2 linked regions of the Arabidopsis thaliana genome follow. The protein of the gene in region 1 interacts with the protein of each later gene in a pairwise test. Each region holds a gene or a part of one and is shown in the gene's direction. Other genes may lie near its edges.

Evidence for each region. Proteins that work in one complex are often made in the same cells at the same time.
Region 2: the proteins of AT4G10480 (region 1) and AT5G50840 interact in a two-hybrid assay, tested with the Arabidopsis thaliana proteins (one large-scale study listed by BioGRID).

What each region holds. Positions count from the first base shown.
Region 1 is NC_003075.7:6,477,374-6,480,817, reverse strand, and holds AT4G10480 (Nascent polypeptide-associated complex (NAC), alpha subunit family protein), read left to right. Parts: upstream 1-1,646; 5' UTR 1,647-1,738; coding exon 1,739-1,813; intron 1,814-1,897; coding exon 1,898-1,985; exon of another isoform or gene 1,986-2,177; coding exon 2,178-2,302; intron 2,303-2,378; coding exon 2,379-2,729; 3' UTR 2,730-2,942; downstream 2,943-3,444. Other genes in the region: AT4G10470 (uncharacterized protein), read right to left, coding at 3,309-3,443. UniProt on the Arabidopsis thaliana protein: May promote appropriate targeting of ribosome-nascent polypeptide complexes.
Region 2 is NC_003076.8:20,683,903-20,689,429, forward strand, and holds AT5G50840 (alpha-taxilin-like protein), read left to right. Parts: upstream 1-1,915; 5' UTR 1,916-2,000; coding exon 2,001-2,292; intron 2,293-2,381; coding exon 2,382-2,449; intron 2,450-2,543; coding exon 2,544-2,655; intron 2,656-2,750; coding exon 2,751-2,818; intron 2,819-2,916; coding exon 2,917-2,994; intron 2,995-3,516; coding exon 3,517-3,581; intron 3,582-3,821; coding exon 3,822-3,888; intron 3,889-3,996; coding exon 3,997-4,179; intron 4,180-4,356; coding exon 4,357-4,413; intron 4,414-4,513; coding exon 4,514-4,609; intron 4,610-4,705; coding exon 4,706-4,837; 3' UTR 4,838-5,020; downstream 5,021-5,527. Other genes in the region: AT5G50830 (nuclear polyadenylated RNA-binding protein), read left to right, coding at 1-165, 338-405, 483-647.

The sequences.
Region 1 (3,444 bases):
TTGCAATGAAGGAACTGCTTACTACACTGCTCGCTTGTCCAACAAAGGTTTTTTAATTGATCTTTCGGGAAACTTATGATTCCAATGGCGGTTTTATCGAATGGTCACCGGATTTTGTTGAATTCATCATATTTTGTCAAAACAAAATTCAGATCTTAGAAAAATTTATAACATTGATTTGTAAAAAGTGTATAAGATAGTCCTTTGGGATTACCTTATCGTTCAATGGACCATAAAAATAGCTCGTTTAGGTTCCATTACTTTCCATCGGAGTAAATACATTAGTCCAAATAATTCGTTTTCGTAAATATATAAGCCTAAATAATTGTGTCCACCAATTTGTATGTTGGTGTGTTTTCACTTGCACACTGGTAAACTAAAGACAACCAATTCTAACGCATGGATATTGGGGTCGTTTAGCTAAGGGACAAAATTTGATAAATAATGAACTTAGAGACAATTAGTTTTTCTATCTTTGTAAAAAGACAAATAAAGTAAATAAATAGATATGAAGTTGAAAAAGTTCAAAAAAAAAACAGCCTCAGCTTTTGCCTTGCGTGATAGAACGAGTTCACGGACATGCAACGAGCAAGAGCGAGTTGACATGCATTTAATAACGGCTAGACTAACTTAATCGCACACAGATATTAACAAATTGTCTGCTTGTATAATATTGACCTTTTAGTGCTTTATATATGTGTTTTCACGTGTACACATTCTAGAATCGTATAATATCTGTTTGTATGTTAAAACTTCTCCAATCTGAAAAAAAAAACAATAATTAATAGTCTAGCCGTTACTAATATGCATGTTAACTCGTTCTTTTTTGTTGTATGTGTATTATTTCACATGACAAGCTTTAACCTTTAAAATGCACTCAACTCGTTCCTTGCACAAAAAGTCAATTGAATATACGTATTGTCCCATACGCAAGGCAAAAAAGCAGAGATAATTATTATTTTTTTAAATATTTTCCAACGTCAAATCTATTTTTTTTGTCAATATACCTTAAAAAGAAAAAAAACTAATTGTCTCTAAGTTAATTATTTATTAAATTTTGTCTCTTAACTTAACGACCCAGAAAGCCTCCTTGGTTCAATGGTTGATCAAGGGTTCATTAATACTTATATACTAAGAGGTTTGGAGTTTGAATCCCAGCTACTGCAATTTATTAATAGATTTGCAGATTAATTGAGGCAAGTGTGCAGGAGATCTACAACGATGTACAATTATAGCCGTTCGCCAGGATTATACGCAGAGAAGATATTTTTGGTATCCATCAAGCGCATGGAGAAGAAGAATGAGGTGTCGTATATCGTGGATCTAATAAGGGAAAGAAATTATGCATAATAAAATTGTCTATGTAACAACTCTCGTAATCTGTAATAGAAAAAAAAAAACTAAACGACCTAGATATTCATGCGTTAAAATTGGTTGTTTTTTTAGTTATCAATGGAAAACACACCACATCAGAATTGGTGGACTTGGGCTAATATATTTATGAAAACAAATAGTTTGGGGCTAATGTATTATCTAATGGGCTAATTAATAAAACTTAAACGAACTATTTCTAAGGCCCATTAAACGATAGGGTAAGCCCAAATCACTATCTTACGCCCCTCTTTATATTCATCGCCACTGAAACTGAGAAAAGGGTTAGTTTCGCTGCGCTGTTTCAAGGGTTTTCGTTTTTATCTTTTCCTCCGAAGAAGAAGATAAGAGGTTGAAGAAGAAGAAGATGCCAGGTCCAGTTATTGAGGAAGTGAATGAGGAGGCTCTTATGGATGCCATTAAAGAGCAGATGAAGCTCCAGGTATTGTAATCTTCTTCTTCTCTATTTGTTTTTTAAGAGAATCGATTTTTGTTCGATTTTGATTTGGTTTGTGTTATGGAGCAGAAGGAGAACGATGTTGTTGTTGAGGATGTGAAAGATGGAGACGAAGACGATGATGATGTTGATGACGACGACGATGAGATTGCTGATGGTATTTTTACTCTTTTACTCGATTTGATTGTTTTCGTTTGGTGGTTTAGGGATGTTTCTGGAATCATGTTGTGGATTTGTGATTGAATCAATCTGTTTCGAGTCTGGATTAGGTTTTCTAGGTTTTGCTATGTATGACATTTGTTAGGGTTTTGATGTTGTTATTGTTGTTGTTGTTGTTGTTTATGTGAAGGAGCTGGTGAGAATGAGGCTTCCAAGCAAAGTAGAAGCGAGAAGAAAAGCCGAAAGGCGATGCTGAAACTCGGAATGAAACCTGTTACTGATGTTAGCAGAGTGACTATCAAGAGATCAAAGAATGTAAGTAATGACCTAATTGACTGTATTCCATTATTGTGTAGCGATGTTTGATTCTGTATGTTATTGTATCATTTAGGTGTTGTTTGTCATCTCGAAGCCGGATGTGTTCAAGAGTCCGAACTCTGAGACCTATGTGATATTCGGTGAGGCTAAGATTGATGACATGAGCTCTCAGCTACAAGCACAAGCTGCTCAGAGGTTCAAGATGCCTGACGTTGCGTCTATGATCCCCAACACTGATGGTTCTGAAGCAGCCACGGTTGCACAAGAGGAGGAAGACGATGAAGATGTTGATGAGACTGGTGTTGAAGCCAAGGACATTGATCTTGTGATGACTCAAGCCGGTGTCTCGAGGCCCAAGGCTGTTAAGGCTCTTAAAGAGAGTAACGGAGATATTGTTTCCGCCATTATGGAACTCACTACATAGGTTTTAGTGAGTTGCAAAAGACTTGTGATGGTTCGTCTTTGTTGCTTCATTTCTGATTCGGTTAGCAATTTTCTCGAACATCTCTGTTTCTCCACTTTTTTGAGGCTATTTCTTTTTACCTTTCTCTGAGCCATAAACAATGTTGCTTCACATCTATAATTTGAGACGTTTATGTCTAGTGTTGTTAACTCTTTAGCAAGAAAGATTGATGAGTAATCTCTTTACATATATTCATTGAAATGTAGCTTCAAAATACAAATTTGGTTCAAGAAACAAAGCTAGATTTGTGTATAAAGTATTTCAAGTTTCTACAACACAAAATACAGATTCAAGTCTTTGTCTAGAATTGACATGAGTGTCCCTCTTTTCGACCTACACATACATTTGCTAGCAAAACTTCTCTAGCTAGTAACACCGCCTCGATTCAGCCGCTTGAATTTCTACACGCTAACCTGCAAAATCGAAAGCAAACGCTCAATAGGACCTCATAGAAAGAGAAATCAATCTTTGACATTGTTGCTATGAAGTAAAAAAGTTAGGATGATCTGATGTCACCTTATATAACTCTTCACTAATTGCTCAAGATCTTGCTTTTGAAAGAAATGTTTCATGTTCCATCAACGATCTCTCTGCCTTAGCCTTGAGCCATAAGCTTTTATAAAAACACACCTCTGGGTTGATTTGCTCTTCTGTTTGATGATGATTTCTTATAACC
Region 2 (5,527 bases), on another chromosome or scaffold:
ATGATGATGTGGTCGTCATCAATGTTAAGAAGGAAGGAGATGATGGTAAGAATCATGATGTTGATGAAGGGAGTATCAACAACTTTGATGAGAGAATGATTGGTCCTGGATCTCCAAGCTTTAGGGTTTATTGCGTCGATGTTCCTTCTGATGATGATGATGAAGGTAAATCATATGTTCTTATACAAACACACATATATACATGTATAAATCATTTACTATTTGTATTTGTATATGGATGCATGCATTGTTAGAGACATATATATGTTTATATATGAAATGCTTGTTATATTATGTAGTTTCGTTATTGAAACAATTTATCCATTCACTATTGCAGAAAAAGATGTAGAAGACGCGAGAAAGTCGATGGAAACCGAAAGCGTCACGACAGAGATAAAAGAGGTGGTCAATCACATTAATTCACATTATTGATTATTTGATCTATGAGGATCTCTAACAATGATATATTTGTATTTCTATAGGACGGAAGCATTGTCAAAAAGGAGAAAAAAGAAAGAAGAGGAAAGAGGTTCGGAATCGCATTGCCGAGGAAGTATTTAGCAAATGTGACTGCGCCGTGCTATGCAGGTGGAGGATGCATGGGAAACACTCATTCTCGTTTGGTGCAAGAGAAATCGAGCCAGTGATCGATCAAAATATGTTTGCCATCTTTGCATTGACTGATTTGTTGAAGTAAGAATGGTGTGGTGTACGTACGGGATCACGATGAATAATCAAAACCACCTTACGATTTTAGACCTTTGATTTGTTTTAAGAGACGCTTGTTTCAGAATTTGTACAACCTCTTCTTCTTCACCTTTGCTTTCTTTGATCAGGATAATTAAGTTAGTGTTTGACGAATTTACTTTTTTCCACGTGGAAAGATGTAATTAATTGAACTTGTGCAATAAAAAAAGTGTTGTCTAAATGTCAAATTTATTGTTACATTAACCAATGAAAATAAAATTAGAGTAACATATAGGAAACTGCAATTATAGAAGAAAAAACACACTAAAAGGTGTAAGTAATTGAACTTTGTGAATTCCGTTTGTTTTCGGAATGCACAAGTGTTAGTCATAATAGGAAAGATAAAAATCTTAATTACAAATCCTAAAATACAATTTTTAATTTATTTTTTAGAGTTTATATTAATATGTCGTCAAAAACGGTATATTATTCAGAACAAAATTATCGTTGACCATTAGTTAATTAATAACCAAGTTCAAATTTGATAATTTGAAAGTTTATTTAGACAAAATTAATTAGTTGAAAGTTTTATCAATGATGGCCTCTTAAATTTTTAACTTTTTTTTGTTGAGTTTTATAAAAAAGAAAAAATGGTTTTCAAACTAAATTTGTTTATGATCATGTTTATCCGAGTTAAGCCCAATTTGAGATCTTTGTCAGTAATGACTAAGAGTACCTCCCGCATATAGAATTCATGTAGTTTCTAAAACATATATATATTTTTTTAACTTTTAAATATATATATTTTTTTAATTGTATGAGTTTCTACTAAAAAATTACTATTGAAGTTGGTCTAAGTTGCGAGACCAAATTTTTATATGCTTTCGGTTCGAATTGACATTTCTCTGTGTAAACGAAGCATCAATAAGAATTTATCAAACTTGAATGTAACACCATTTCTTTAGTTGATCATTTCCAAACATTTATTAATCAAATAAAATTGAATTTCAAAGTCACGTGATAATGATGATACTCAAATTTAAAAAACCAATAACACTTTATTTCAACATTTCTATGAAGAAATCAATTATTAACACTTAAAGTTATTAATTGAATAACAACGAACAACATTTAATTTAGTCAAAATTAGATTTTTTTTTTCTTTTTTTTGGTTTTATTGTTAAGATTTTATACCAAATAAAATTTTACAAACGAATCTAAAAGAAAGAACAAATTTAAACTTACCTATCAGAATTGTTGTAAGATATTTGGGTTTTCTTCGTATTAGGTTTCATCAGATCCAGACTCAAAAAATGGAGTCACCGCACTCGAATTTGCTCCCTGAAGTCGATTCTTTACCCGATGGATTCGTCGACGGCGCAACAGAGCCGCCTCTCAATTCTCCCAAGACCCAGGAAGAAACAACAAACCATGAAACTGTTGCGATCGAGAAAACAGAGAAGCCAAGAACTTTTCCGGTTCCGTTGTGTGAAACTGATGGTAATGAAGATGACGAAGTAGCTGACCTAATTCAAGAATCAATCAAGCTTGAGTTAGAGTTCGAGCAGAAAGAAAAAGAAGCTTCTCCTCCTATTTCTCAAACATGTGAGTGAAAATGTGAAGCTTAATTTCTTTATAGGAATTTGCTTCTTTTGTAACCTAAAGTTTGTTTCTTTGCTTTTTGTTTGAGTTAGTGTCAGAAGGGTCAACTCAAAATTCAACCTTGTCTAAGGAAATGGATTCACTCAAACCCAAAAAACAAGTCAGTATTTTGATGAGTTCTTCAATCTTGTTGCTTTGAGAAGAATATATGTTGAAGATGATGTATCTGATTTGTGTGCTGATGATATTGAAAGCAGGAGGTGGTTGAGAGCAAGCGTAAGGGTTCAAAGAATATGTTCAAATCAGAGAAAGAGTTTTTGGAATTTATGCTCAAGTATCAGCAAGTCCTTTCTGAAAGAGATTCTGGTAATAGGATATCAATAAAACCAAACTAGTTTTGTGTTACCTTCATCGTTTAATGCTTTATAGTCTGTACTCATCATTATTGTTTTTAACCGTAGCTATTACTGTTCGTGACAAGCTTGAATCACTTTGTAGAGAGTTACAACGTCAGAACAAAATGTTAATGGTTTGTTCTTTCTTTCTTCTTGCTTACTCTACTTGGTGTGTCTTGTTTTGAGGAACTAACCTTTTGGTGTGTAAACTAAATGTTCCTTTGTATAACAGGAAGAATGCAAGAGGGTTTCAACTGAGGGACAGACTTTAAGATCGGATTTATCGACAAAGTTCCAGGATGCTATAATGGTAAGTTGAACACATTTTTCTTTCGATGTGAATTCTTCCCAGGGTTTTGATCTTTGCTGAATATAGAAATTTGAGCCATTTTGCCGTCGGTATTGGCAGTTTTAGAGAGGAACAAGTATTGGATAATAGCTTTGTTTTGTGTTTCTAAGTATGCAAATCTTAAATGCACATCATTTATTGATCCTTGTTATATTTTCTTAGGATATTATCTCCTTTAATCTTCCGTGCTATATGCTTTGGACAGTCATGGCAATATCTTTTTCTTCTTTCTGAAACTCTCTACACTGACATTGGCAAATGTTAGTACCGATCTACACTAAAATTTAGTCCTTGGAAATAATTGGAACTAAACAAAGTAGAAAATTGTCCATATTGGTTTCAAGTTACAGATTGATAGAACTAAGTTTGATGAATTGCTTGCAGGCTTTTGCAACATCAAAAACTTACAAAAACAAAATCAGAATTTATTTGATTGATTTTTTTCTTATGCTCTCTACCTTCCTAATCCTCTTTTGTTTATAGGATGTGAGCATTAAGTTGGACGAGCAAAAGAATGAAAGCCTCACGCAACTCAAAGAAAATGAGATGTAAGCGGAAAGAACTCAATCATAACATGTTCATTTGGAGTAGGAAAATTATAGTATGTTTATTATATATGTATAGTTTTGTTGCAGTTTAAGTTAATACAGTATGAATATGCTCGCCCACATTCTGGAAACTATATTCTTACATGTGTATTGCTTTTAAAACGGCTTTGCTTGTATCAGCTCAGTAACATATTATAAAGGTCCATTCTAATTACAATGGGTTTGTTTCTTAATCTCCAGGTTAAGGACGAAGTTGAAGCACCTGGCTGATCAATTTATGCTTTCAGAACAACAACATGAGCAAAGGGTAATTAAATTATTCGTTTTTTCCAACTATATATGAAGCATGATTTAGCCAAAATAATTGGCTTAACTGCGATGTCTACTTGACAACATCTCATTTTCGAATGGACAGTTGAAGCAGAAAACACTTGAGCTACAGATCTCTGCTTTAAAAATTAAACAGCACGAGGAGAAACTCATCCATGAACAATCTCAGATGAAAGTTTACGCAGATCAAGTTTCTCAGCTTTTGTCTACTGAGAAAAATTTGCGGTTGCAGCTGACTTCTGATGGAGATAAATTCCAGCAGTTCCAGGTCTGCTCTCTTCCCCTTTTACACTTCCTAAATAAGTCTTAATCGTTTTCTCGATGCACTGTGATCACAGATAATAAGATTGCTTGCTTTGGGTGTGATACAATACTCTCTTAAGATATGTTTTTTACTGATATTATATGAAAAGACTGTAAAGTGAAAGGCTGTTTGGTTATGCAGGACGCGTTGGTTAAGAGCAATGAGGTGTTTGAAACATTCAAACAAGAAATCGATAAGGTAATAACAGTTTTATACCTTCGAGGTTCTTTGAAAGATCATAAGTGCTATTTATGTGATCTTATTAACTTGATCCTGTCTCTATTGGTTTTTTGAGTAGATGTCAAAAGCAATCAAAGAACTCAGAAAAGAAAACGCATTCTTGAAAAACAAAACTGAGAAGTCGGATATCACTCTCATAGAACTCGTCGAAGAGGTAAAACAAAACCGTCTGTTCTCTCACTATCTTTAAGGGTTTGTAGATTTTGGTTATGAAACCAGTAAAATCACACTTTTGGTTGACCTTGAACAGCGTGAAAGATTGAAGAAACTGTTGGAGAAGACAAAGAAACAGAAAGACAAGCTTGAATCACTTTGCAGATCCCTTCAAGCTGAAAGAAAACAGAAAGAAACTAACAGTACTGATTCTGCTGTTCAACCATGAAACAGAGAGAGACTATGAATTCAGTGTTTTGCTCTCTTTTTTTCTTTGTCAGAGTTTTGAACTAATTAGCACTTCAGATTACAAAACTACAATTAGACTCCAAATTCACTTTAAAATGTAGAAACATATCACATCATATTGATTCTGCTCTTTTGCGAGCTAAGTCCATTTTATCTCACAAAATGCAAATTGATAATAGTTAATTCAGCTGCAGCTTCTGCAAATCTCCAGGTTCACAAGAGAATGATTCTGCATTCACTAAGTTCACAACCGATTTGGAGAAGAATAGCTACTTCAACATCTGCCATAATGACCAGCTGATTCTTTGCAATCTTAAACCAAACCGAACCGAACCATTTGAACCGAAGAAAAGTTAAACCGATATGGATTATGATTCGGTTTGCATCTTTATGGATTCGGTTAGTTAAAAAAAGCGAATCTCTCTGAATTAAAATAAGTATAACGTCAAATTAAATTTGGTCACATCCACTTTCCTTTACAAACTTCAACAACATCAAATGGAATAATATAATATTGGAAAAGAAAAAGTATATAACGAAATGTCAACCATCGATCATGACCAGCAGATATTAATCGGACGGCTCCTGTACAATTCGATGAAGAAGACCTACTCTCTCATTTATTCAGCTAATTGAAATCATTTCGTTGTGTTTTAGAACAACAACAAAA